7 linked regions of the Nothobranchius furzeri genome follow. The protein of the gene in region 1 binds, or shares a complex with, the protein of each later gene. Links are inferred from orthologs where the notes say so. Each region holds a gene or a part of one and is shown in the gene's direction. Other genes may lie near its edges. The genes, in order: prpf8, snrpd2, lsm5, lsm3, lsm6, snrpg and ppih.

Region 1 (4,208 bases):
TTAATTATCAGCTGATAAAACTACAAGGGCGCTGTTAAAATACAAACAGTTGTATGTTATTTATCGTGATATTTATCAAATATGGTTATAAATTGAGAAAAAAATATATATATCTAATTATAAAAGAGAATTAAAATAATAAACACTCAAAAGTATCGAAAATTGGTACCGTTAAGTACTGGTATCGATTCGTAGGTACCGGGAATTAGTACCGGATCGATTCAAATGTCAAAGGTACCCATCCCTAATATAACTTAGTTCCTGTAGAAATACAATAATATAAAATTATTATCTCTATAATCACGTGTGTTATCCGCTCTGTTCATTTTCAATATAATAAGATAGTTACTGATTAAAGAATTCAATCAATAAGCTAAAATAAATAAGCACTGGGTGAAGACAATCAGGAAACCTATCTGTTGCCTGCTGAGATTCTGAAGTGAATGAGTTCCAGAAGCTGTATGTAATAGTACATCTATGACATCATAGAACTCAACCGTACCTCTTTGATGTCTGTTTGATCGTGGTAGTTCTGTTTTCCTGGTTGTCCTAATGACTATTGTTTGATCGTGGTAGTTCTGTTTTCCTGGTTGTCCTAATGACTATTGTTTGATCATGGTAGTTCTGTTTTCCTGGTTGTCCTGATTGTTCTCCTGGAAGTCGAGGTAGTTGAAGCAGACAGAATGGATGAACTGGATGCCAGAGCAGTTTTGCTCTACGGCAAGAGGGATGTGGGATATTGCTCTTGTTGTGCAATAGCCTTTATTATGTTTGTGGCATGTTAGACCACATTAATCTACGCACCAGAGTGGACAGGCAGGGAGAAAAGAGACATACAACACAAACAGGGAAAGAGAGGGAGGGGGAAATGGAGGGACAACAGTACACTAAAAATAGAAAACAGACCGCCAATACAGTGGGGTCATCATTTTAAAAAAGTAATAATAATAATAATAATAATAATAATAATAATAACACATCTACAAGAATAAATGGAATAGGAGCTGTTAAATTATATTATCCATATTTATAGTAGCATGTAACTGTGTGTGTGTGTGTGTGTGTGTGTGTGTGTGTGTGTGTGTGTGTGTGTGTGTGTGTGTGTGTGTGTGTGTGTGTGTGTGTGTGTGTGTGTGTGTGTGAGAGAGAGAGAGAGATAGGATCCTGTAAGGGTCGGTAGTGAACCGGAAATGATTACCCCAAATCATCCGGGAAATCGCTGCTTTACGCATGTCTAACGTTGGCGCAAATTATTTCACGTAACCTTCTTGAAAAGCAACAAGCAACCATACTGTTATATCTAGCGTAGGTGCTTTTGTGAATTACACCAGAGATGCGCTGATGGCTGATCGTGTGGTTACCGTCGTGGTTTGGTTTAGCTCGATGGTTTAGCTACGACCATCTCAATTTATTAACGCGGAAAAAAGCACCAGACGGCAACTAAAAAGAAGAAATGTTGTAGTTATTGTTTGTGAGTGGATCGAGGGTGATTTTGAAGTACATAAAGTGCCGTCGGAGCGAAGGTAACGTGGTGTAAGATGTTTTATACTCGTTAGTCTTTTATTGTTGGTTAACGTGCAGCCTTTAGCCGCTATGCTAACAGCGCCGAGCTTCTCCGCGCTGGGCCTGGAATTCGTTATCGAATTACTTTCACAAATTATTTGTAAAGCCGACAATGGACTCGCTGTTTTAGTCTATTTTTCTTAAAAATCTTTAATGCTTGACCTGTGCAAAAATTAGATATAATTTACGTGAAGTCTGGTGGTTTGAAAGTTTAGCGTGTTGTCGCTTAGTACGCCATTGATGAGCTAACATTGCAAACAATATGCTGTTCTCCGGTTTGTTGTGTTTTCGTTTTTCATAAGTAAAAATTACTATATTTTTGAAGTAAGCGGGCATAGTTTACTTTCAAATACAAACCCTTTAAACATTTTACGACTTAAGTTTGATTTAACGGAAAGCCAGATTGTGTTAAAGTGCGTTGTTTAACTTTAATTTAATAAGCCTGTGTGTATTGTTTTTTATCTTTTGTATTTAGCAGTGAGGCACCATGGCAGGAGTCTTTCCCTACAGAGGGGTCCTTCCTGGGATGCCACCGGGTGTGCCTCCTGTTGTACCCCCGGTTGTCCCCCCAGGTGTTCCCCTGGTTGTTCCTCCTGCACCAGTTCCAGACTACATGACGGAGGAAAAACTACAGGAAAAGGGTACCTTTTTAATTTCAGCTCAGCAAATCAAATGGTTGATGGGCTGTGCTTTGCAGATGATCATAAAATCATCTCCTAAATTCCCCCCAAATCATCGCCTTTGTCAGTGAATGTCTGTGTGAATGGATGAATGTAAAGCACTTTCGAGTCCTTCCTCTGAGAGGCGCTATAGATATTTATCATTTATAATTGAATTGTCTCCGCATCTAATCATACAGCAAGGAAATGGCAGCAGCTACAGGCCAAGCGTTATGCTGAAAAGAGAAAGTTTGGCTTTGTGGACGCCCAGAAGGAAGACATGCCTCCTGAACATGTTCGCAAAATCATTAGGGACCATGGCGACATGACCAACAGAAAGTTCCGCCACGACAAAAGAGTTTACCTAGGGTAAAAAATAATTTGTTCTTTCTTGTTGATGCAAAATGCTTTCATACTTTCAGTAATACCAATTCTATCTTGTGCATTATTTGCTGATGAACAGTGCACTCAAGTACATGCCCCACGCGGTCCTGAAGCTGCTGGAAAACATGCCAATGCCCTGGGAACAAATCCGAGACGTGCCTGTGCTCTACCACATCACGGGAGCCATTTCCTTTGTGAACGAAATCCCTTGGGTTATAGAGCCGGTCTACATTTCTCAGTGGGGGTAAGTGTTTGGCATTTCCTACTTTTCAGTTTTGAGCCAATCTTGAGTATCTTATTAGAACGTGCACATTGATGTTACTTTGGTATAATTCATTAATGGTATTCCCTTAATAAATTTCAGCACCATGTGGATCATGATGCGTCGTGAGAAGCGTGATCGACGACACTTCAAAAGGATGCGCTTCCCCCCATTCGATGATGAGGAGCCGCCGCTGGACTACGCTGATAACATCCTTGATGTGGAACCTCTGGAGGCCATCCAAATGGAGCTTGATTCAGAGGAGGACTCTCCTGTGGTGGACTGGTTCTACGAACACCAGCCCCTCAAAGACAGTTCCAAGTGGGTATTTTTCTTTCTTTTTATGTCAACACTTGCTGTATTTGGTTGTTTCACAACTTGAATAATTAAAACATTAAACTGTTTTTCAGGTTTGTGAACGGAACCACGTATCGTCGCTGGCAGTTCACGCTGCCCATGATGTCAACGCTGTATCGTCTGGCCAATCAGCTAATGACAGACCTGGTGGACTTTAACTACTTTTACCTGTTTGACCTGAAGGCCTTCTTCACTTCAAAGGCCTTAAACATGGCCATCCCAGGAGGACCAAAGTTTGAGCCGCTGGTCAGAGACATAAACCTCCAGTAAGAAGCTCCCATCTATTTATCAAGCATGCTGCCTGTGGAAAAAATATTTGTGAATCAGTATCACTTTAAACAGTCAAATAAAAACAGGTACTGAGTGTTTTCTCACTAGGCTGATGGTTACTTTTTACCTTCAGGGATGAAGACTGGAACGAGTTCAATGACATCAATAAAATCATCATCCGACAGCCAATCAGAACGGAGTACAAGATCGCTTTCCCCTACCTGTACAATAACCTGCCACACCACGTTCACCTCACGTGGTAGGAACCAAGCCAGTGATGACCTTAAGCTTAAACTGACTAATGCATTTATTTGGGATAAATCGATTAATAGAGATGAAATGACTGAATTCCCCAAAATGGAAGAACTGCCATGACCGACAAGTGATTTTTGCTTTCTGCAGGTACCACACACCGAATGTGGTGTTTATCAAGACGGAGGACCCGGATCTTCCTGCTTTCTACTTTGACCCACTGATCAACCCCATTTCTCACAGACATTCTGTCAAGGTTTGTGGTGTGGACAATCCTTACTGAGGGAGCAGAAGGGAATATTGTTTTATTTCTGATTAAGTCCTCTTACAAAGGCGCACTTGCACTGGTCCTCCTGCCTGTGCGTAAGAACAAGAGGAACATTAAAATGAATGGTGATTGTTTTCTGTCTCTGGCTGCAGCTGCAGATTTGTTCTCACCATTCAGATAACTCCTCACCTGC
Region 2 (4,224 bases), about 10 Mb from region 1:
AACATCCTAGAGACTTTGTTTTTCTATAAACAAAATATTCTGTCATTTTAAATAAATAAACATTTAGATTTGTGCATTTAAATGTTAATAGTTTGATTGATAGACTTGTATCTTGTACTTACTCATCTGATTTAATGCTTGTTGCTCTCTTAATTGGGCCACTGTAGTGTGTTCAGATTAGAGAATGCAGCTCCATCCCATGTAAGGTAACGCTGAGCTCATTTTAGTCTGCATCTCAAGATGCAAGAGTCTAGGGTGAGTGTGCTTGGTAAAGGTATAGAACCGTGCAGTCTGGAAACCAATCCCACTCATTCACCTCTCCCAGCAACACACAGCCTGCCATTATCTACAGCAAGTGATTTCCACAGGTAGATCTGTAACCTTTGGAACAAGGTGGGTGGGTTGAGCACCCATAGGCGTCTGTCTGTCTCTTGCCAGAAAGCCAATCTCTTAGTGTCTCGTTGCTGCCACATATACCCGTTTCTCTCCTTTACACACACACACACACACACACACACACACACACACACACACACACACACACACACACACACACACACACACACACCTTTGCTGTGTTAAACAGCGAAACAAAGGCTTACCTGTTTGGGCTGCAGACTACGGAGAGGTCTGCTTCCTCAGTCTTATTTATTTCCTCTTTACTTTGTGAGGAGAGAGTTTTTGATATAGGGCTGCATGGTACAAATGGTACTGCTTCCCCACAACAAGAAGGTTGCAAGGTTGCCTTTCTTCAAAGTGCATTCTGGCCATGCATACACTGGTTTTCACTGGATACAACAAGAACATTTAGGTTCCATTGTGTCTCTAAATATAAATACATATTTGTTTGTCCCTGTTTGTCTCCATGTGGCCCTGTGCTAGACTGGTGACCCATCCAAGGACTCACCTCTTGACTGATGAGTGCTAGAGTTGGGCATCAGCTTCATGACGTATGAAGAATAAGCAATGACGAAAAAAGAGGGGCTTACCTTTTACACGCTTGTTCTATGCACTGGTTGTGTTGGAACTGTATTGAAGAACTACTATAGATGATGATGATGATGATAGATAGATAGATAGATAGATAGATAGATAGATAGATAGATAGATAGATAGATAGATAGATAGATAGATAGATAGATAGATAGATAGATAGATAGATAGATAGATAGATAGATAGATAGATAGATAGATAGATAGATAGATAGATAGATAGATAGATAGATAGATAGATAGATAGAATTTAGGAAAAAAGTAACTAAGAAAATAATAGTTTCAAGATTTTTACATTTATGGATGATTTTTTTTCCATTACACTTACCGAGCAGAATCTCCGTAACCCGGAAGTTATAGCGAACTGTTTAGAGCGCGTTGAGAATGACCCGGAAGTGTTTTCGTCCACGAGAAGAAGGCAGAAGCGTTGCTCATAAGAATTAGACGGTGGAAACGAGAGAAAAACAGCTTTAAACAGTTTTTATAAACCACCAATCATGTAAGTGTCGTTGATGATGAGATAGCCATTTCGGAAAGTGTCATTTTTTGAGATAGAGTATCAGCTACGAGTCGCAGCGTCTTTTCTCGAATGCTAACATGTTTAGCCTTTTCACTGATGAATGCTAGTTAGCTCACGTTGTGTTGCTTTCTAAACGTGCTATCGCTTTTCATATTTTACTCACCATTAACCTAATATGTACAGGGTAATTACTGCAATAAAATATATGTAGTAGTTACGTTGGTGATCGTTAATGATGCTACGATTGTTTAAATTTTATGTTTGCCAATTGCGAAATATTAGCAGCACGATTAAGGAGACCGGTGTTGAGTCAAATTGTGTTCCCCGTAGATAACAGTTTGACCAACTTTCTAAAATGTGCGTTTGGAGAATGAAATTGTCAGGATATTAGCCTAGTAACGAAGTCGGCTTTATGTTTTTGAAGCATATGAGCTTATTTTAATTCAGAACATCATTGTTAGCGACGTTCTGTCTCAAGGATGTTCCACATGTTTTTTTTAATCAATCTTCTAAGAAATCCATTGCTTGATACAAAAGAGTAAAGGAAGGTTATGAAGAAACTCAGAGAAACAGTTAATTGTTAATGCAAAACTTGTCATTCTAATCTCTTCAATTTTTTTTAACTTCTGATTGCTAACCAGTAAATTAAACGTGTATGTCTGATATTGTTGAATATTTGGCTATTGCTAAAAGTAGCTTGGTGTAAATTTTTTAAAATAAGTTATTAGTTTTGTTAAATGCCTATGGGAACTTCCCCACTCTTCTACTGAGAGATTTAAATTTTAATCTCGGTTAAAGTCAGGTTTCTTGAATTGCATTTAGTTAGGGTGCCTTGTTTTCATTTATTATCTTGTAATCATGTAAGTTTTAAAAGCAAACCGCTAAAAGGACTTGTGACCGTTATCTGTGCAGAAGCAAATGATCTAGTATCGTGTCTGCTTTTGTGTAGGAGTCTGTTGACGAAGCCCAAATCAGAGATGACACCAGAAGAACTCCAGAAGCGGGAGGAGGAGGAGTTCAACACCGGCCCCCTGTCGGTGCTCACCCAGTCAGTGAAAAACAACACTCAAGTCCTCATCAACTGCCGCAACAATAAGAAGCTGCTTGGAAGAGTTAAAGCTTTTGACAGGTATTGAAAGAATTTTCATCTAAAAAAAAACATTCAGAGTTCTGCATCTATGCGAGAAAATTTTACATTTAGCTTTTTATGTTTATTTATTTGCAGACGCTTTTATCCATAGCGACGTACAATTTTTTACTTGTAGGGCATGTTGTGATCTGTAGGGGAAACCGGAGTACCTGGAGGAAACCCATGCATGCATGGGGAGAACACTCAACTCCACGCAGAAAGGCCACAGCCGAGTTTCGAACCTGCAACCTTCTTGCTGCGAGGCAACAGTGCTAACAACTGCGCCACCATGCATTTATGCATTTGGATGGCAGAGTCAAAAAACTTAAAATCACATTTAGGTATGGCTGCCACAAAAGACAATTTTAATAGTAGACTAATCACCAGTTTTGTTGACGATTAGTCAACTAATCATGTCATCATGCATAAAAGTATAGCTTATTGCACCAGGGTGCCCTAATATACCCGATGATAGCTTATCAAACAGCTTTTAGTTAACTTTGTAACCCAGGGGTGCCGGAATCCTGGTCCTGCATGTTTTAGTTTGAACTCCGCTTCAACACACCTGATTTCAATCAGCAGCTAATTAACTGGCTTCTGCAGAGCCTGATGAGCTGCTGCACAGGTGTTTCAACCACTGAATCATGTCTGTTGGAGCAGAAAAAACACAAAACCTGCTGGATACCTGCCCTCCAGGACCAGGATTGGGCACCCCTGTAGTAACCTGTTAATACAAATGCTAAACAGTCAAATGGAGGTAGGCACCTAAAACTAGGGCTGTAGCGAAGCCTCGACGAAGTCGACGGCTCGATTCTAAAAATTTGTCGACGTCAGATCCGGAAGTTGACGCACCGCGCCCACTTGTTGCATCCCCAGGAGTTTGTAAATAGAGGAGGAATCTGCCTGTTTTTCCTCTAGTTTGCCCTCTTCTCCGCCTTCACTAACATCTCCGCCAAATACCGAAGACCCGGAACAATGTCCGTCCACTACTAGATTATTTTCCTGTTTTTCCCCTTCGTCTCCCGGCAACGGACAACAACTTCCGGGGTCAGATGCGCTGCTTCATGTCTATCGCAGATGTAGAAAATCACCGGGAGCGCTTCTCCCTTCATAAAGGAGCTTCTTTCAGACATGAGGAGAGCTGTTTTGGTGGTAGCAGTCTCTCCTCCCTGCTGGTCTGTTTGCTGCCGGGTGTTTTTGGTTTATTTAAACTTGGTAACTTGAACTTTTGGTAAAGCTACTGTTAGCATCTTCGCTAACAGCTTCTTGCATTGGGATAAGCTGTTACGTTTTGGTTTAGAGTTCATCTTTTTTGTGGTGTAGATCTCCCTTTTATTACATTTAGAGTGTTGTGGGTTTTCGGTTTAGTGTAAAATATTACCTGAGTTTGGTTTAACCCGTAAGACCACTCGCCTCACGCACATAAGTGACCAAAACAAAGCAGCATGGAGACACTCCATCTTCTACCACCTCTCAGGCAGCAGCCTGCACTCCCAAGTTCTACACGTCACCAGAACATAACCAACCGCAACACAATAAAAGCATGGAAGGCCTGTAGTGTTTATTCTCTTACAGTAAGAAT
Region 3 (3,862 bases), on another chromosome or scaffold:
GCAGCTGTTTGCGAGGCCACAGATGTAAACAGATGGAGAGCAGCAACAAGGAGGATCACTGTTTCCAGATCTTAAAAGATCCATTAGAGCCGCTCAGACCAAACGCTTCAGGGACGCGTTCACTACCTAACCGTGTGTTTCCTGTTGCTTTCATCAGACAAGAAAGCAGCAAGGCACCAAGTTCATGTTAGCACGTTTACACACACCTGAGCTCTGAGTGTGTTACTCAGGTAAAAAGCATCCAGATCTGGTTTTGTGGGAGAAAAGTGGTTTGCCTGCAGGCTGAGCTAAAGGGAGGTGTGGCTGCTGTGATGTCACAAGAAAGCCTCTTTTTTATGTTTGTATGAATAAAATATTTGTTCTGAAAATATGCACTACTTTAGGACTTGGGTTTAATCATGCCACCAAATAAAAGGAAGTTTTGCTTCAGAGTCAGTTAGAAAATACCAAAATGCAAGTTACTGAAAGGAAAATAACGAATTTCACATTTTTGAGAGGAACTGAGATATTTCTGATGCAGTTTTTAAAGCTTGTAGCATCTTTGATTATTGTTGTTTCTTCCTATTCTGCCCATCACCGTTACTGAACATTAGATAATCAATTAGTATGGAGATCCAACCGGATGTGGGATCAGGTGAGCAGCTGCTGGAAACAACTGGAAAATTATCTGAGGTGGCAGCCAGAAGAGATGTTATATAACTCCGCACAAACAGCTAGAAATCAAAGACGGTTAAAATTAATATTTCCATCTGCATCAAATCCATCTCACCTGCAGTGAGCTGGACCATAACCCTCCATTCTAATGTTTTAGTAGGAATGCACCTTTATACCAGAGCTAGCCACAGTTAGCATGAAGCAGGTTCGTACCTGACAGCCTTTTTTATGGTGAAATCCAACAACCACGATGTGTAGCACCGGCCCCTTCCCTTCAGTTTCGCTGCCGTGAGACTCCATTTTCCCTCAGTCTTCTGTTCTGGAGGTCCGGTGGCGTTTGTGAACTCAGGGGGTTCGGATGTAAACACAGCGAACGGAGCCTAGTTTGAGCCCCGAATCTTTCCCACGCACACACACTCACGCGCGCGCGCACACACACACACACAGCGCTGCAGCTAGATTTCAACAAGATGTTTCCCTGTTCCTCACTTCCGTGTTTGCGTTACCGATTCTGTCAGATCCATCGGGGTCAGAGCACGGATTAGCTGTTAGCATTAGCTTTTAAATGAAAAACTGGTTCAAGTCGCATTTACACAATTTATAACAACCTGTTTCCAATGAATCTACTGACATATTTTCTTGCGAATATCTGATTTTGATCAAATCCTAAAATCAGTCAAGCATAACTTAACCAGAAACAGGAAGTAAACAAATAAACTCTCCATGCTGCAAAATCCATACTTAAGTCTTATACTCAAATATTTTTGCCTCTAAAGTGATTGTTGTTTTGGATGTTTTATTTATTATTTTTTGTGGGGGAATTTAAGTATATTTTTTTATCTATAGCATTCCAAAGTAAATCAGAGTTTGTCTATTCTTGCCTGAATTCGATTTGCTCTTGATTCGATTGGTTGTGACTGCTGCAGTCACACGAAGAAAGTCATGGCGGCTACTCAAGCGACAAACCCGTCACAATTGCTCCCTCTGGGTTCGTAAAATCTAATTTTGTTCCGTTCTTGCTTCAGATAGTTTCGCCTTTAGATACATTTCAATAAGAACCGAACAAGCAGTTCTAATTTAGTGAGTAGCAAACAGAAGTGAGCCGTTTTAGCGGTAAAATCACGCCGGTGTTACGTACAGATCTTTTCACCGAAGTAAACCGTGTCCCCGCTTCCTGACAAGATTTCTAGTCACAGGATTGTGTTCCTCCTGCTAAAATATATTATCTGTGGTGTACGGATTTAATTGTCAGTATGTGTAATTTGTGAAGTAAGCAGTTGCATGTATTTGATAAATTTAGGAACTCGTGGGGGTTATGCTTAGTTCAGCCATCTTTATTGCTTGCATTAATTTACTAATAAAAGTCAAATAAGGAACATTTTACCATTTAAAACATATTATAGCTTAAAGAAAAAGTTTTAAAGAAAACCCCCGGAGATTCTGGTTTAGATGGGGGACACATCTCGATGCAACACCAGCAGGTTTTAGCTAGCTGCAGATAAAGCAATAATTTCGTGTTCAAGCGTGAGTTTTTACCTAATTTATTTTAACAGAGGAGTATTTGTGGCAGTCTAAAAACTAAAAGAAGTGATTGTGTCCTATTTTACAGCAGTTATGACCTGAAAAAGTCAAACCAGCTCGGGTGCCTTAATGAGGATGGCGTGCTGATTGTACACCTGTCCGTGTCTGAACATGAGCAAAAGCTGAGCTGCAGCAGTCATAATAATACTCCTGAACTTATTGTGTTATTTAAATTCAAAGTAGTCACACCCGTGAACAACTTTCGTTGACAACTGACAAGAAAATTCATTTCGTCCATCGACATATATTCAGTTAGATTTAGTCATATTCTTCTGCCACCTACTGGCCAATTAGTGTATGTGCAGTACAAACCTCAACAGTATTTCCCTTAAGAAAAAATGATTTTTAGTAGTTGGTCCTGATTGGTTTTAGATGCTAAACATCACATTAGTTATTTAGAAAATTGTTAAAATCAAACTGAAAACTGTAGAAAATAACCTAACCTGTTATATTTTCAGAGCTTGTGGACAAATGTATCGGCTCTCGAATTCACATCGTCATGAAAACCGACAAAGAAATCGTCGGCACCCTGCTGGGGTTCGATGACTTTGTCAGTATCCTTCCTTAAAAGCTGCTGATCAGCTGTAGTGCGTGATTCAGAGGTGACATGTTCAGATTTGGTCCTCAACTGTGTGTTTCAGACATGGTGCTGGAGGATGTGACAGAATTGTAAGTGTACGTTGTTTTATTAACCGGTGTCTGCCTCATTCATCCTGCTCATCTCCTGGTGTTTCTTCCAGCGAGATCACACCAGAAGGACGGAGAATAACCAAACTGGATCAGATCCTCCTCAATGGAAACAACATCACCATGGTAGGACACAAACGGCTTCGGTCTCTCTCAAACATCACTCAGCTGGATGATTCATGTCGGGTTCATTTCTCCTGCAGCTCATTCCTGGAGGAGAAGGACCAGAAGTGTAAATCCTGTTTTGTGTCTTTTGTTTATTCTCTCCAGGTTTTTGGAGCATATTTTTGTAACATTCTTTGTTCAGTTTTTAGTAAAAGAAGCAGGTCTCACGTGGGAATTAAGATGTCTTTGTTGCAAATAAATCTGTTTGAAAAACATCCTTGTTTCATTTATTTATCATAAAAAGTAAATTTAGTGCAAACATTGGGACAAAATGAAGTGTTACCATCAGAAACCAGTGATAAAATCCAGCATCCAGTCTTTGTTGGACTGTAAAGCTAAATGAGAAGTTTCACTTTTGACTCATGAACAAAAAACGTGGAACCGATCTAGAGCTGAAACAACTAATCGACTTAATCGATTATAATCGATTATTAAAATAGTTAACAACTTTTTTAGTCATCGATTAGTTGTTTAATAATCATATTTTACCGCATAAAGTCTATTTTTTACCACAATCAGACATCGGTTACAAGCTGTTAAATTTGCCGCCAGTGTGTGGCAGTAATGAGCCACTGATCTACCAGTGGAGCCGTAGAAGAAGAAATGAGCCAATGGGTGCCCTCGGTTTTCATGACGTATCACGTTACTGACGCTCATCTTGCTGTGAGAGATGGCGGAACAAGAGGAAATACGGAAGAAAAATAGAAGCGACAAAACTGAAGAGAAACCCCGGACAAAAACCTCACGAGTATGGGAGCACATTTGAGACGAAAGC
Region 4 (4,237 bases), on another chromosome or scaffold:
CTCCTGTCCTGTCACCAGACAATGAGTCATACATAAGGGTTTGGATAAAAATAAATAAATAAATAAATCATGTGTCCCAAACTGCACCTGCACACATTTTCTAATGAATGGTTAAAAGCAATAAATCAGTGGAGAAAAACAAGTGATTCTGAAATGCACTGCCAAGTTCTTGCAACTTCGACATCTCATGGGGCTTAAAGGAGATGTACAGTTGGATGTCATCTGCATAAGATGGTTGGAGATTTCTTTGAAGGAGCTCAGGATGTGCTGAAGAGGGAGCAGATAGAGGAGGAAGAGTAGAGCGCCCAGCACAGAACCTTGTGGGACACCATGGGCGAGGGAGGTGGTGGAGGACCCAAACTTGGAGACGGCCACAGAGAAGCACCTAACCCTAACCCTAACCCTCAGACAGATAAGAGGAGAACCACTTCAGAGCAGATCCTGATATGCCTACCCAGTCTCTCAGCAAAGCTGCTGACACACAACCTTCTCCAGAAGTTTCAAATTGAAAAGGAGAATAGAGATTGGCCTGTAATTGTCTGCACAGAGACATCAGATTCTGGTTTCTTCAGGATCGGTTTACTGACTGCAGCTTTTAATGCAGTTGGAACCACTCCAGTGCTCAGGCTGCCGTTAATGATCAGACGCAGAGACTGACCCAAACACGGAAAGGCCTCCTTCCACAGACGAGGTGGCAAAACATCGAGTGGAGAGCTAGACGACTTCTGCCCTGAGACAAGCTTAGACAACTCAGAATAAGAGAGTATTAAAATAGCTCAGGGTGGACTGTATTGGAGTAACTGGATCAGGGTCTGTAGATGAACCAAAAATAGCAGCTCTAATGGCAGAGACTTTGCTAGTGAAAAAGTTGTGAAAGTCATCACATTCTCCAGCAGCAGTAGAAAAAATGATGCCAGAGTCCTGGTACACTGAGACAGAGTTAAGCGTTTTATGGAGAATTTTTGAATTGTTACAGTTTGTATCAATGATGTCAGCAAAATAGCCCGTTCTAGCGACCCTCACAGCATCAAGATCAAGATACTCTAAACATCTAATGGGAGACCTGTAGGTCTATGCCCGTTTATGTGCAGCCTACAGTTACAACAACCGGCGTACAATTTGAAAACAGATCAAGCGGGATTACTAGTAACTTTACAAGCCTACCTCATGGAATTCTATATTTAAATATATTTTAATTTATTTTGTTAAATTATATTTATATTTTAATTATCATGCCATATATTGTATCAGCTTTTGTGAAAAAGCTTGATAAAATGCGTTTTTTAGTTGGCTAAGCACCTTCCTAAGTAGAAATTAATGCAGTGGGGGCGAATGGAGACCCAACTAAGATGGCGGTCGGCCACTACGGCAGCCGTCCACGGGGCGTCTACGTATATATGACTGCGACCTCAGAGCCCATTGAGGCACTAGGCCAGTTAAAGCATCATGGCGGATGAAGTGGAGCAGGTTCGTTTGGTTGCCGTGTTTATACACTTTTGTTCGTTTTAGCGTCTGTGCAGTTGCTTGACTTCGTCGCGCATTATTAACTTTATGCATTTCTTTAATCTAAGGATACAAGCGTAGCATTTTGCTAATTGCTAACACGGTTTAATTGTGTTTAGGCCTGTGAAACCGGTTAGCCCACATTCACCTAGCGTTCAGCTCATCCTAAAATTATCAGTAAGCGCGTAAAAGTTACCAGATTCTCACAAATGAAAGATTAATGAATGACTTTTCCCGTTATGTTTGTCTAGCAAATTGGACAAATAATTAATATTGAGTTTTCTTTAACTATTGTGTTTAGTTATTAACTTTAGTAAGTAACGAGTCTCAACAAACTGTTTGGATCAAAGTTTATGATTTAAAATGAATATTTCTAAGCTGTAATGTGCAATTTAATTGAAAATAAAGATATTAGTGACAAAGATACCATAGTGTTAATAAGTCATGAGACGTTTAATTGGTTTGATCAGTACTTCTGCACACTCTCTTTACATTTCCTATCAGATGGTTTGTTTTCTAAGCCCTGGTCTTTAAAGGCAAGCCTTAACAAAGCTGTACAGACACAACAAAAATGAATAAATAACAATATAAAGACTCAGCTAAACAATGTTTGGATATTAGTGATGCATCGATATAAATTTTTGGACCGATACTGATATCCGATATTAAGATCACTGTTATGGCCGATAACCGATATTTGCCGATACCGATATACACTGACATTAATGCTTCCAAAATCTGCAGATTTTATATAGAATGAAAATTATTAAAGCTGGATTTACATTATTGTGTACACACAACACACACATTTACGCTTCTGAGGTGATTACAATCACTGTCACATGATTAAACAAATACACATCACCCCCCTCACCCTCTGAAACTGATAAACAAATGGAGACGAGATAGAAAAATTAATATCGGCCCGGTTTTATTTATGGGACCAATACCGATATGTTTAAAAATGACTAACATCGGCCGATACCGATATTGATGCCGATATATTGTCCATCCCTATTGGATATTTTTAATCTAGATTTTTAAAAACATTTCCGGTGAGTGTAAAAAAACCGACTAGTTTTGTTTTTAAATGTTTGCTATTTGATGAATATGCCAATAAAAAATGGAATCCGTACATTGATGATTATTTTAATGTGTTCCACAGCAACCACCTACCAACACGGTGGAGGAGCCTCTCGATTTGATCAGGCTCAGTCTGGATGAGCGGATCTACGTGAAGATGAGGAATGACCGGGAGCTCCGCGGTCGACTACATGTACGACACACACACACACACACACACACACACACGGTTCAGAAGATCCAGTTTTTTCACAATACTTGCTGATAAAACAGGTAAAAAAAATAAGACTGAAAATTCTAATGTCAGTAAAACAACTTAAAAGGTGAAACTAATCTATGAGACAGACTCATTCCACGCAAACCCAGATATTTCAGCCTTTATTTGTGATGATTATGGCATTCAGCTGATGAAAACCCCACATTCATAATCTCAGACAATTAGAATATTGTGTTCAGGTAAATATTCTAGTGTCAGACTTTTATCAGCTGATGAATCCAGAACACCTGCAGAGGGTTCCTGAGCCTGTAGATGGTCTCTCCATCTGAGCTTGATTACTGTCATAAATGGACTTTTGCACCATATTCTCTTTTGTCCAGTTTCACCTGTATGTCCTAACTAATGTTTGCCATCTGGTCCAGGCGTATGACCAACACTTAAATATGATCCTGGGGGATGTGGAGGAGACGGTGACAACAGTGGAGATTGATGAGGAGACGTATGAAGAACTTTATAAGGTCAGTTTTTATGAACAAACATAGAAAAACCTCTCTAGCCACATTTCTACTGAACAGCTTTTGTTTTGGACTCTTTGCTGTGTTTGCTTAGTGGCAAACTTGTGCCACTGTTGGGTGATGCTTAAAGATCCATCAGATGCAGAAACGTTAAACGATGTTAACTTGTCACTTTAACATAACGCTGAATAGATCTGCAGAAAGTAATAAAACAGAATTTTAAGATTCTACGAGGTTTCATTATTGTTCATGATCAGAAACTCAAGTTTTATTTAAATTTGACGGTACTTTAGTGAGTATTTAAATAAAATATCTGTTATTTAAATGTTTTTACTGTATTTGTTTCTTTAGTCTACCAAGAGGAACATCCCCATGTTGTTTGTCAGAGGAGACGGCGTTGTCCTCGTAGCTCCGCCTCTCCGAGTCGGCTAAGCCCCCCATGCCTGACAGGATGATGTAACTGCTTCTGGGAAGTGTCCATTTTTGTAGGAGAGTGTTATAAATCTTCATTTTCCTTATGCTAGACTGTTATTTCATCTTTAAATTTCATGTGAATCAGAGGCTCTTCTCTAGGGCAAAATGTCTGAGGGGGGAAAAACCCAGGAAGTATGATGTGAGGACACTTTTTTTTATTTTTTGACACATTCTGGGATTGTAAGAATCGGCCTCAGTAGATACTATTATTTTTAGTAGAAAAACATTTTTCTGAATCTTATCAGTTCCGATTGAGTCATTCCAGTGTTTATAAAGACTCGGGTCCCCTTGTGAGCGAAATGTTTGTTAAATTGCTCAACTTTTATGTTGATTTTTAGCTAAATGATTGCATTTGAGTCCCAGAACATTCTTTTTCTTTTACATGACGTTAGTGTTTTATGATTTAGTCATGCTCAGGTTTGAAAATTTTGTTTTTATGTGGTTG
Region 5 (4,420 bases), on another chromosome or scaffold:
GGGTTAGCCATGCCCTGCTAACAAGCAACCTGTCTAGACACACAAGAAGTACTTTATGATTCCACCTTTCACAATCCCCCCTCTGTCTCTCTCTTTTTGTTTCTCTCTTACTTTCTCTCTCAACCTTTCTGTCTCCACTAACACGTACTGGCACATCCTCACGCCCTCTATGCTCTTCTGTTTTTCTCCCCACTATTTCATCCTTGTTTGCCCCCATACACCATTTCTCATGTACCTCCCAAGCTGTGCAGTGTTTGGGTCGTGCTCCCAGCATCCAAGGTTTATATATATATATATATATATATATATATGTGTGTGTGTGTGTGTCTATAATATTTTTTACAAACCCGAAGTTGGTTACTCGTTAGAATAATTAAAAGAATTATTTGTTTTCATACACTTTATTCATAGACTTCTTCACAACTACAAAAAAGTTTTCCATTGGTTCAATAGTTTTTGTGATGTTAACAAATGTTTGTTATAATAAGAAAATATTTCACCAGGCACATGTTTATGTTTATGTTTATGTATTTAGCAGACGCTTTTGTCCAAAGCGACTTACAAGTGATGTGTTTATAAGAATGAAAAGATGTCTTTTTTAAGTGCACATCATAGACTGTACATACTGTGCACATTTTCCCATTTCCCCAAGATTCACTGATTTCCCTCTTTCCTGTTCACTCTCTCTCTCTCTCTCTCTCTCTCTCTCTCTCTCTCTCTCTCTCTCTCTCTCTCTCTCTCTCTCTCTCTCTCTCTCTCTCTCTGTCTCCCCCTCTCCCTCCCTCTCTCTCTCTCTCTCTCTCTCTCTGTCTCCCCCTCTCCCTCTCCCTCTCTCTCTCTCTGTCTCCCTCTCTCTCTCTCTCTCTCTCTCTCTTTCTTTCTCTCTCTCTCTTTGCCTTTTTAATCACAATTGTCTATTTTTGCTTATTTTGAACATATTTTAAATCATTTTTTGAAACCTTTTTTATATTTTATATTTTTGTGAAGTGCCTTGAGATTTTTGTCTTGAGAGGAGCTACAGAAAAGATTGTTTTCTTTCTTTCTTTCTTTCTTTCTTTCTTTCTTTCTTTCTTTCTTTCTTTCTTTCTTTCTTTCTTTCTTTTAAACGTTTGAACACTTACAGATCAAGAAGAAAGAAAATGTACCTGAAATTGGAATAGGCTTATTTGTGCATATCCCACATTACATTGAGATAAATTTTGAATTTGTAAAAAGAATAGTAAAATAATACAATGAGACATTCACATGAAATATTATGTTTTTACATATTTACAGTAGTTTCTCATTTTCTGTATGAATTTGTTACATAATAGAAATATTACTAATGCTTCAGTTTATTCAAAGTATAACAATGCACAACAAAACAAAAAAACTTTAGTATATTATAATATGAAAGCCAGTGGATATAATATTAATTACAACATATTAGAAATACATTTATAGAAAATAACTTGTTAAAGGAAATGGGTATATCGTATTTTTAAAATGTACTTTTAAATATTCTTGTTTTGTCTATCGAATTAAAACTTTGCGCTTTCAGGACATTTGTCCCTACATAGTTTCCGTAGTCCTCCAATGTGATTGGTCAATGCGCCGAACATAAAATCGTTGTGAGATCGTTCATCCAGTGAGTAACTTGCTAGCTCGGTGTTCGCATCTGTAAAACTAGTAAAACATCTATTTCCTATCTTATTAGGATCTGTTATGATGTAACAATACCTGTACATTGTACTTTATTGTTAAACAATCTCCTACGCTATTAGAGGCTAACGAACTGACCCACGGAATAGCTGGTAGTTAGCACTTAGCTCGCTAGCTACATAGAAGCTCATTTGATAATTTGAACGTTTTAACCGTACATAGTTTTGCATTTAGGCGTGTACTATCTGGCTACAGCTATTCGTTTTAATATTCTCGGGTTTGAATAATGCCTTTGTTACTAGATAATCAATTATAGCTTAAATGTGTATTAGGGTAATGCTAATGCGGTTCTTTATTGTGATAAAATGAGATTTACTCATCTGTTTTATTCTTTTAGATAAAAGCGAAAATGAGTTTGAGAAAGCAGACCCCGAGTGACTTTCTGAAGCAGATAATTGGGAGACCTGTCGTGGTCAAACTGAACTCTGGTGTTGATTACAGAGGTAATGCAGCTGGCATCAGGTGTGGGAATGTTTAGGGTTCTCAGAGTTTGATTAGGTTATGAATCAGAGGGTTTGTTAAGCAGTCATTGATGCATCTTTTTACGCCTTCTGCCTCATGTTTAGTTCTAGACAATGACCCCCTGACAACTACTTTTAATTTTTAATGATCTTTTAATTCATTACAGTTAAGTTCTTTATACAGGCAGACAGGAAGTTGAATGATGTAATCCCATATAGGATTAGAAACTATGAAACAAACACTAACTGAAAAACAGTTAAATTACTGCAGTTAAACTCCAGTTAAATGCTGAGTAATTGGAATAAACTTGAAAAGTTTCGTGAGGACCAAATTTTGCTTTAATCTTCAACAAACTATTTGTGTTTGTGTTGATATTAATTCATTTACCAAGCTAAAGAGAGATTCACACAGGTTACACAGATACATGGAGGAGGAACACTTTTTGACACAACACTCCTACTCAGACATCTTTGTTACAGTTTAAAATGTTCAGTTTTTCAGTATTTGATGTATTTATTTCTTCAGTCAAGACTCAAACTCCATCCCAGTTGCACACCATAATGTGCCACACTTCTGCACTTCAGATGTCTGCCTTTTACACTCACCTAAATAATGATCATTATTAAAATCTGTTTTGATAATTTTTGAATGAATTTGTAATGGTTTATGTTTGCATCAAAATGCATAAAAAACAGTATGCCCCTCTTCCCTAGCTGGCACGTTCAGGTCTGTTGTTGTTTTATTGCCCAGGTAAGTTTATTTTTAATCTGAAGTTTGTGTTTGTCTCTGAGCAGGTGTTTTGGCCTGTCTGGATGGTTACATGAACATCGCAATAGAGCAGACGGAGGAGTATGTCAATGGACAACTCAAAAACAAGTATGGAGATGCCTTTTTGAGAGGAAATAATGGTAAGATTTGATGTTTTCACGCTGCAGGGCGTTATACAACACCGTTTTCCTCTGTTACTATAGCTCCAAGTCATATTTAATGATTAAACATTCCAGGTTATGAAGGCTGTACATTTGCCATGATCTGAGTCTTTGGTGCAGTCAACTTCCTAGCCTCATTCTTATTAGCTCACAGAGACAACATTATTACACTGTGTGCTCTAATAGATCTTTCAGTTGTTTAGGTTTTTTTTTTCAATCCAAAGTGATTAGAGATTTAAATTTGTTGACAATTTTTAAATGAAACTTTCAAAGTCATGCACCACAAGATGTTTATTTTCATTTTCTCATTAAGCATTTTTGCACCTCAAACCTATCTTTATAGGAAAACCACAAGATATTCCCTTTTAAAGTTGGGAAACTAACCATGTCGGAGTTATACAGGAAGCTCACTTCCGATGAAAACATCGAGCCCCTTTGTTGCTGCTTTGAAAAAACTGGTAAAATGCTACTATTTTACAGCATCGTTTGTTAATTAATTCATTATGTTACATTAGAAATGTACTGATTTAGCTTCTGATGGCAGAAACTGATTTGTGTTGCCTCAAAGTGATACTAATTTTGGGTGATTTTTAAATATAATATGCTGTTTGAATTTAAATATTAAATAGAATATTTTGGAAGTGTAAACTTCTACATTAATAGGGTTAATAAGTAGGGTTAGGGAATATTTTGATACCTGTGTGATTTTTGTGGTGCCTCTCTAGACTGAGCAGATACAGCTGCGACTGACTACTAGGGATGCACCGATGGATCGGCATTTGATCCCAACTGGCCGATAGCGCCCCTATCGGTTTTGATCGGAGTTTTCAAAATGGATCAAAGCAGACCGATCAGGTAGGGTTGTCACGGTAACCGGTGTAGCAGTAAACCCCGGTAAAATAAAAAAAAGTTGACAATAATAATAACCGTCCGTTTTTAAAAAAACTATATTATCTCGGTGGTTTACCGTGGCTGCGGTGTAGGCGCGGTGACCCTTACCAGCCACCGTATCATCTGTTGAAGTTGCCAGCGGCACATGCGCACTTTGTTGTTTACAACCAAAACTTTCTTGAAGCTAAAGCTGAAATAATGGCCAAAGGAGGAAACGGCAGCGCGCAGGACATTTATTATACCTCAAAGAAAACAAAGTGGGAAGTACGGGCATTTTTTGAATATTTGAAGAATGCCGAGGGACAGTTTATAGAAGACGGCTATCCTGTTTGCAGCACGTGCAGAAAAAGTGTCTGTGAAAGGCAGCAACGCTTCAAATCTCATGACCAGTGTTGGGAACGTTACTTTAAAAAAGTAATTAGTTATAGTTACTGATT
Region 6 (2,568 bases), on another chromosome or scaffold:
AAGGGCGTTGCAGTAATCGAGGCGGGAGATGACAGTAGATTGCACCAGGAGCTGGGTGGCATGTTGTGTTAGGTATGGTCTGATCTTTCGTATGTTATACAGCGCAAAGCGGCATGAACGAGCAGCAGAGGCAACGTGATCTTTAAAGCTCAGGTGTTCATCAATCACAACACCCAGATTTCCAACTGCCTTTGAAGGAGCCAGAGATAGGAAGTCATTCTGGATTGAGATATTGTGCTGCATGGATGGTTTTGCTGGGATGACAAGTGGTTCAGTTTTAGAGAGGTTGAGTTGGAGATGATGGGATTTCATCCACTAACAACTAAGAAAGACTAAACTCTACAAGTCCCCACCATCCTGTTTATTCTGCATCCTGCAGCGCTACGCTATCAGACCCGCTGCAGATACGAGTCACATGACTGCTACAAGTCTGCTCCACACACAGGAGCAGGAAGTACGGCAAGCTGTTGTAGTATATAATTCACAAATGCTTCTATCTTTGAACATAAATTAAACTGGATTATTGCCAACCTGTACATAACAGATAGGCCACCGTTACACTGTTAGCAGCAGAAATTACATGTTATTACCATTTCCAACACAAATGCAAGTTAATGAAAAGCATTATATTTTACCGCATATATTTATGTTGTTTTGACTAAGATGAGTGTTATTACTACAAACCTAAAATGTTACTGAAATGTTGGTCAGATATATACAAATACTTTAACTATAAATATCAGACAAGAAAAAGGAACTAAACACCAATCTGATGCATATTATTGAGCCTTTCATAATAAGAGTCTGTTATTCAGCCTGATCATTTTGTTGTTTTATTTCTTATTTTTAGCAGCAAACCAGTTTAGTTTCACTTGAAACGTTAGGGTTAGGGTTGTGTGTGTGTTTTCAGCACTAATAACTTGTTTTTTAGTGAAGCTGAATGGAGGCAGACACGTGCAGGGCATCTTGCGAGGGTTTGACCCCTTCATGAACCTGGTAATGGACGACTGTCTGGAGATGGCCCCAGGAGGACAACAAAACACCATCGGCATGGTGGTCAGTACCTGACCATGTTCCCTTCTCCTCTTTTCTTTTGTTTTTGTTAATAAATACCGTGAAATTAGCCATGTTGGTCTGTCATGATCTTTGAAAAGAGTGTAGACTAAATACCTGAGACCGGGGGGGGGGGGGGGTCAGGTCATTAAGCCAATCAGTAACAACTTTCCTATATAAGGAAGCCAGCAGGTCGCATCAAGTCACTGACTAGTGTCAGAGTCTTTACAGCAATCCTCATACTAAGCAAGCATGCAGCGACAGTAGAGAGGAAAACTCCCTTTTAACAGGAAGAATCCTCCAGAGAATCCTGGCTCAGTATAAGCAGCCATCCTCCACGACTCACACACACACACACGCATGCACGCACACACACGCACACGCATGCACGCACACACACGCATGCACGCACACACACACGCACACAGTGGTGTTTCTATGGGTACATTGTGATGTCTTAGTAAATATTCTATTACGTGAGAGATAAACTTTATTGTATGTATCCTAGTGGATCTATAATTAAACGGGTAAACTAGTAGTAGCACACTCCACCTCCCTCTACTCCCCCACTTGTCCACATCTGGGCTAACATCAGATTTTAACCATGGGCCCTAAACATAAATCAAATAAAAATGTTTTGAGCCCAGTCCTAAAAAGGTGTCTGGATCCATATTTGCAAGTATTTAGTCTCAGCTTCCAGTGAGAACCGAACGTCTGTTGGTGTGGTTGGCTACAGTCGGGCATCACACACGTTAAACACTGAATAAATAACTGTGTTTTGTTTTCCTAGGTGATCAGAGGAAACAGCATCATCATGTTGGAGGCCTTGGAGAGAGTATGAGAGAGGAGCATCACCTGTATTCCATTTTAGATGTTAAACTTGTTTTATTTCCTCCACTCTGGTCTTTTGTTTGAATGTTTTGTGAATAAATCTGATTTTGTTTACTGTGAGTTTCTGTTCTGTGTAACATGACAGCACCTTTGGTTTTTACTGCTGAAGTGCCGAAGCAGTCTACAACCAGAAGAGTTGAACTAGCTAACGGAGTCGTTTTAGACGTTCAGGTGCTGCTGGAACTACTTCTCTGAACCCAGTTTGTGCAGCTTTCCCAAAAGTTTATAAAACACTGAATTGTTGTAAATTAAGCATTTTTTATTTAGTGACACCTGCATGATGTGTCGGGATATTTGTAACAGTAGTTGTTTGAAAATATCCTGAAGTAGAAGCCTGTTCCCATGGCCATGTGTGATTAGTTAGAAGTTAGAGGTGCTGAAAAAAATCCATTCAAGTCTGAATCGGGACTCTGATAAAGGTTCAGATTCGATTCCAGGAACTCAAATATTTGGCATGTTACAGGTTTGAGATGCACTTGGAGAGTCAGTACTCCGATTACTTTTGTGGTCCCATAAATTGAGATGATTTGTGTTTGAATCTGCTGATACGAGGGCACTAGATTGTCATTTTTCCCATACTCATTCATTTGAGATGTTCTCATTTATTTTCTAAGTTGATAAGTG
Region 7 (4,161 bases), on another chromosome or scaffold:
ATTATGTGTACCGGGAAAACAAAAAGGAGCAGACCAGAGTCTTGGCGAAATAAACACGGAAAAGGGTAAATCCTAACAGATGTTTCGGCAATTCGGGTAAATAACATAATTCATTTTATAACACCAGTTGTACTGTTACCTGCTTTGTCCCATACGAGTATTAGAACAGCTGTCTTTCCTCCGTGTTGGTCTACTTTTGTGTGGCTTTTTCGGATAGTGAAGCACACACGACTCCTCCTACAGACGGTACACAAGGTTCTGTGCCACATTCATTGTACCTCGTAAATTACGACTTTTTGCCATCTAGTCATGGATTTGTTTTGAAAAATAAATAAAAAATACACGAGCACGCGCGCGCACACAAATCTTTATATTAACCTGTTAACATTTTTTGACATTTTGAAAACGAACCATGAAAAGAAATATGAAATAATTAATCAAAAGAACAAGTCGGAGATGTTATTTTGAAAATCTATTTAAAATATTACTCTGATGGCATACCCTGCCCTGCAAAAATAAATAGTTTTCAAGTCTATGAAGTAAAGATAAGTAATTTATACATTTATAGATCTAGATTCAAATACTGAACTTGAAGTTTTGCCATACATCATACAAAACATGTTTGAAGCATTTATATTAGTAAATCTCTATTATAATGAGTTGGAGAAAATTATAATTTTCTGAGCATAATTTAGCCACTAGGAACTATACATTACTCATCTTTCAGTGTATAATAAGATATTTCAAGTGTTTTTATGTTGGAAAATACTGGGTTTTTTTACTTGTCCAACACATCCAAAATTGACCTATTTCTATTTCTTGCGAATTTCCCAAGTCGTGTTTTCAATATTTGACTATTTTTATTTAGTGAAAAAATATGCAGCACAAGGTGGCGCTCTGGTAAAATCATTCTAGAGTGTTCATTCGTGTTCTCCTGGGTTCTCCTGTGCTCTCTTCTTCTAAAGAGGACAGTGGAGTCAAGACGTACATTGCATTTTATTTTGCTCAACTTAATTCTGTTTTTACTATTCACTGAGACTGTATTTTAATATTTAGTTATTTATTTCCAGCTGACCTTTAAATAAAATTTGAAACATTTTAAATTTGCATTTTTGAACTGCTAAACATCAGGAAAAGGTTGGATTTAAGTTATGTGAAATCCTAGTAATAACATAGCTATGGGAAACAAAAGATTTACACCAACATTAGCCAGGGTCTAAAGAAGAAATATATACAATGCATGTCTAGGTTTTTGTCCCTAGTTGCAATTCGTACCTTGTCTCTCGCGAGCCACCATAAGTTTCTTCTGCGCATGCTCTCTATTTTCAAATGGCTAGTATGTAATTTTTTTTGCCGATTTGTAATTTGAAATCTGTGCAAAAGCGGTCAAAACATATCGATGTCTGTTCAAGCGACAAACCCAAACAACCCCATCGTGTTCTTTGACATTACCATCGGAGGGCAGGTCAGTGGAACCCAAAAGTTCTTTTTATTTTACCGAAAACGTGCTGTCAACGTCACCGCGCTCAGTTACTCATCTCAACGCAAAGTCGCCTTTTGATTAAGTTTATGGGAGAGTAAGCAGAATTTTAGGTATTATGTTTAGTTTATTTGTTTCTTATAATAGTAAATCAGTGCTACGTTTAACGTTTTGTTTAAGTAGTGGATATTTATGTGCTTTGAAAGGCGCAGAGAAAACGTTTAACTTGAATAAAAACGAGATTGAGGTTCTTTTTATCTTCCATTTCAACATTCGACAATCAACACCAAGAAGATTTTATAGGTTTGAGAAAGTGGCTCTGCGTGTGCAAGTGCCACCAGTAAGAACTTGGTTGGCTCACCTGCTTTTTAAAGCATGCACCAGGACATTAACAAAACAGCAGATCTGTGTCGATGCTGAACATGTTCATTCAACATAGCAGACACTGCATGCAAATGGATACTTCTCATATACTTACAAAGTACCCCTGACCACTGATTATAAAGCAAAGTTTGAAATAATCGTATTAATAATTTCAAACTAATGTGAGTTATTTTCAATAATGAAAAATCACAAAACCGTTAAAAATGTGTGCAAAATTTTGCAGAATTTCAGGGCAAAGACATGTTTTCACTATTTTTTCTCTGTTAAACGTAGCATTAGGGCGGCGATGCAGTAGGTTGTCCTGTTGACTTTCAGAAAGAAGGCTGCTGGTTTGAATTCCAGCTGTGGCCTTTATGTGTAGAGCATGTTCTCGCTATTTCTGCGTCGGCTTTTCCTGGGCACTCCTGTTTCCTTTGATGGACCAAAACCATGCATGTTCGGTTCATTGGGGGCTCTAGTGGGCCATTCCCATTTGTACCAGGTCGGCCCGGGCCGGGTAGCCCCGGTCGGCCCCAGCCTGGCCCGGTTGATTCCACACATCCTTGCCTTAAGCCCATGTGGGCTGATTCTACCCACCAATCAGAGGCTTGCTCTAATGGAAGGTGTGAATTTGCTGTCAGCAGTGGGTGTGTTGGCCCTGGTCGGCCTGAAGCAAACCCCCTCGAGAAGAGGGCTGAGAATGAGCCTTGGTTGGCCCGGAAAAATACCAGGCCACCCAGATATGTAAACAACCTACCCTACCCGGCCCGGGCCGACCCGGTACAGATGGGAATGGCCCATAACTTGCTTCTGTGTGAGACTGGTTGTGTATTTCTGCATGGAGTGAGAACCCCTGCCTTTCGCTCGGTGACTGCTGGAGATGGACACCAGCTCCCCTGTAAACATACAGGGAAAAAATGGTTCTGAATATGATTGGGTTTGAAATGTAGCTTTAACTCTGTTGAAGTCGTGTTGCAGGATATGATTATGGAATCGGTAAAGTTTTTTATTACAATGACTTCATGTGGACATTTCCCCTCTCTTTGCTTCACTGCAGCTGAAGTCATCAAATGCTCTTCAGTACAAACCTAATCAGGAAACGGCATCTGATTTAGTTTAATTTGAAGAGGATGTTTCACTTCTAAAGCTACAACATGTAGCTGCTTGTCACTGGGAAACTTACACAAATGGCTGTAACTGATCTGAACCCAGAGCAGAAAGCCATAATTAGAAACAATTTGTTATATGTTCTGTAGCAGCCTTACCTTCAGCCTCGTTCAGACCAGGTGACTCCACCCTACTTGGCCAAACAAAATTTAACTTGCAGCAGAATCTCAAACATATGTAGATGTTTCACCTTCAATCTGTTAGAACACTTCTCATTATTCATTGTTAATCATAGTGGATTTCTGCTATAAGGATTTGTCCAGAAGGACTGAAGGTAGGGCTGGGCAATGAAACGATGGCAATAAATATTTCAAAACAACTTTTCCTCGATGGACATGTGAGAGTGGGAAGATAGAACTTCGGTATGAAGAGTAGAGACCCACAGCTCAGTAGCAGCCAGGCGGATGTGCTGCTAACCGCTCATGTTTGTGTATCTGTAGCCTCCTGCTTCAGGTAAAAGTAGAAAAATGAGAGCCCCAAATGGAAAAAAAGAGATGGACACTGTTAATTACGTCGTTGACAATAAAGGACCGAACAGTTCATTCGTGTGGACGTAGTTTGAATAATTCTTTTGCTGCGAAACTAATGACGTTGAGTGGATGATCTAAACAAAGTCTGTGAAACCACAGGAGCTCATGAGCCAGTGCGACCCGCTGGAACAGCAGGATGTAAAACTTGATAATAAGAACCCAAGTCTCCTCCCCTTCCAGTCAGCTCATGGGTCCCTGGAGCAAAGAAAAAATAACCCGCTTTGCCTTACGCCCTGAATCACAATTATGTCATGTAATTTCAGCTTTGTTTGCTTGTAAAAATTCGTAAATAAAATGACTACAAATCAGAAGTCGCATATATGACGTCCCGACAAAATCTTTTCTCCCCAGCGTAGCTGCTACTTATCAGATAGCCAGATTTATGGTGGTTTTCACGTTTCGTTTAATGCTCCTTCTTTGGTCCTGGAAGAAGGATTCTTTGCTAAACTGATCTCCCCCTCTTCTCTGTCTGGGTCAATTATATCAATTTAGTGGGACGAACGTTTGTAGTCCTATATGTATTTTTCCACACAAAACCTGAAACAGCTTTTGCCGCTGTTTGAAAATAAGCGCTTTTTTGGCATCAAAATGTGTATTTGAAATTTACGGACATCATTTGTG

Evidence for each region.
Region 2: prpf8 (region 1) and snrpd2 share a complex: the UniProt entries of both Homo sapiens proteins name them as parts of the U4/U6-U5 tri-snRNP complex. The link is inferred for Nothobranchius furzeri from reciprocal best matches to the Homo sapiens genes PRPF8 and SNRPD2.
Region 3: prpf8 (region 1) and lsm5 share a complex: the UniProt entries of both Homo sapiens proteins name them as parts of the U4/U6-U5 tri-snRNP complex. The link is inferred for Nothobranchius furzeri from reciprocal best matches to the Homo sapiens genes PRPF8 and LSM5.
Region 4: prpf8 (region 1) and lsm3 share a complex: the UniProt entries of both Homo sapiens proteins name them as parts of the U4/U6-U5 tri-snRNP complex. The link is inferred for Nothobranchius furzeri from reciprocal best matches to the Homo sapiens genes PRPF8 and LSM3.
Region 5: prpf8 (region 1) and lsm6 share a complex: the UniProt entries of both Homo sapiens proteins name them as parts of the U4/U6-U5 tri-snRNP complex. The link is inferred for Nothobranchius furzeri from reciprocal best matches to the Homo sapiens genes PRPF8 and LSM6.
Region 6: prpf8 (region 1) and snrpg share a complex: the UniProt entries of both Homo sapiens proteins name them as parts of the U4/U6-U5 tri-snRNP complex. The link is inferred for Nothobranchius furzeri from reciprocal best matches to the Homo sapiens genes PRPF8 and SNRPG.
Region 7: prpf8 (region 1) and ppih share a complex: the UniProt entries of both Homo sapiens proteins name them as parts of the U4/U6-U5 tri-snRNP complex. The link is inferred for Nothobranchius furzeri from reciprocal best matches to the Homo sapiens genes PRPF8 and PPIH.

The regions. Positions count from the first base shown.
Region 1 is NC_091753.1:37,707,743-37,711,950, reverse strand, and holds the start of prpf8 (pre-mRNA-processing-splicing factor 8), read left to right. Parts: upstream 1-1,345; 5' UTR 1,346-1,523; intron 1,524-2,038; 5' UTR 2,039-2,050; coding exon 2,051-2,204; intron 2,205-2,422; coding exon 2,423-2,591; intron 2,592-2,685; coding exon 2,686-2,850; intron 2,851-2,970; coding exon 2,971-3,189; intron 3,190-3,278; coding exon 3,279-3,491; intron 3,492-3,628; coding exon 3,629-3,754; intron 3,755-3,897; coding exon 3,898-4,003; intron 4,004-4,208. UniProt on the Homo sapiens protein: Plays a role in pre-mRNA splicing as core component of precatalytic, catalytic and postcatalytic spliceosomal complexes, both of the predominant U2-type spliceosome and the minor U12-type spliceosome.
Region 2 is NC_091753.1:27,245,720-27,249,943, forward strand, and holds the start of snrpd2 (small nuclear ribonucleoprotein Sm D2), read left to right. Parts: upstream 1-1,354; 5' UTR 1,355-1,490; coding exon 1,491-1,492; intron 1,493-2,462; coding exon 2,463-2,642; intron 2,643-4,224. UniProt on the Homo sapiens protein: Plays a role in pre-mRNA splicing as a core component of the spliceosomal U1, U2, U4 and U5 small nuclear ribonucleoproteins (snRNPs), the building blocks of the spliceosome.
Region 3 is NC_091747.1:62,679,398-62,683,259, forward strand, and holds lsm5 (U6 snRNA-associated Sm-like protein LSm5), read left to right. Parts: upstream 1-1,518; 5' UTR 1,519-1,596; coding exon 1,597-1,642; intron 1,643-2,693; coding exon 2,694-2,789; intron 2,790-2,876; coding exon 2,877-2,904; intron 2,905-2,975; coding exon 2,976-3,048; intron 3,049-3,125; coding exon 3,126-3,158; 3' UTR 3,159-3,302; downstream 3,303-3,862. Other genes in the region: late secretory pathway protein AVL9 homolog, read right to left, coding at 868-954. UniProt on the Homo sapiens protein: Plays a role in pre-mRNA splicing as component of the U4/U6-U5 tri-snRNP complex that is involved in spliceosome assembly, and as component of the precatalytic spliceosome (spliceosome B complex).
Region 4 is NC_091743.1:73,197,508-73,201,744, reverse strand, and holds the start of lsm3 (U6 snRNA-associated Sm-like protein LSm3), read left to right. Parts: upstream 1-1,380; 5' UTR 1,381-1,446; coding exon 1,447-1,467; intron 1,468-2,668; coding exon 2,669-2,779; intron 2,780-3,225; coding exon 3,226-3,321; intron 3,322-3,669; coding exon 3,670-3,750; 3' UTR 3,751-4,237. UniProt on the Homo sapiens protein: Plays a role in pre-mRNA splicing as component of the U4/U6-U5 tri-snRNP complex that is involved in spliceosome assembly, and as component of the precatalytic spliceosome (spliceosome B complex).
Region 5 is NC_091744.1:10,586,822-10,591,241, reverse strand, and holds the start of lsm6 (U6 snRNA-associated Sm-like protein LSm6), read left to right. Parts: upstream 1-1,538; 5' UTR 1,539-1,627; exon of another isoform or gene 1,628-1,668; intron 1,669-1,688; exon of another isoform or gene 1,689-1,793; intron 1,794-2,038; 5' UTR 2,039-2,050; coding exon 2,051-2,144; intron 2,145-2,957; coding exon 2,958-3,071; intron 3,072-3,435; exon of another isoform or gene 3,436-3,550; intron 3,551-4,420. UniProt on the Homo sapiens protein: Plays a role in pre-mRNA splicing as component of the U4/U6-U5 tri-snRNP complex that is involved in spliceosome assembly, and as component of the precatalytic spliceosome (spliceosome B complex).
Region 6 is NC_091755.1:44,518,794-44,521,361, forward strand, and holds the end of snrpg (small nuclear ribonucleoprotein G), read left to right. Parts: intron 1-931; coding exon 932-1,056; intron 1,057-1,843; coding exon 1,844-1,894; 3' UTR 1,895-1,998; downstream 1,999-2,568. UniProt on the Homo sapiens protein: Plays a role in pre-mRNA splicing as a core component of the spliceosomal U1, U2, U4 and U5 small nuclear ribonucleoproteins (snRNPs), the building blocks of the spliceosome.
Region 7 is NC_091755.1:32,544,980-32,549,140, reverse strand, and holds the start of ppih (peptidyl-prolyl cis-trans isomerase H), read left to right. Parts: upstream 1-1,282; 5' UTR 1,283-1,399; coding exon 1,400-1,465; intron 1,466-4,161. Other genes in the region: zgc:154075 (putative oxidoreductase YteT), read right to left, coding at 140-153. UniProt on the Homo sapiens protein: PPIase that catalyzes the cis-trans isomerization of proline imidic peptide bonds in oligopeptides and may therefore assist protein folding. Participates in pre-mRNA splicing.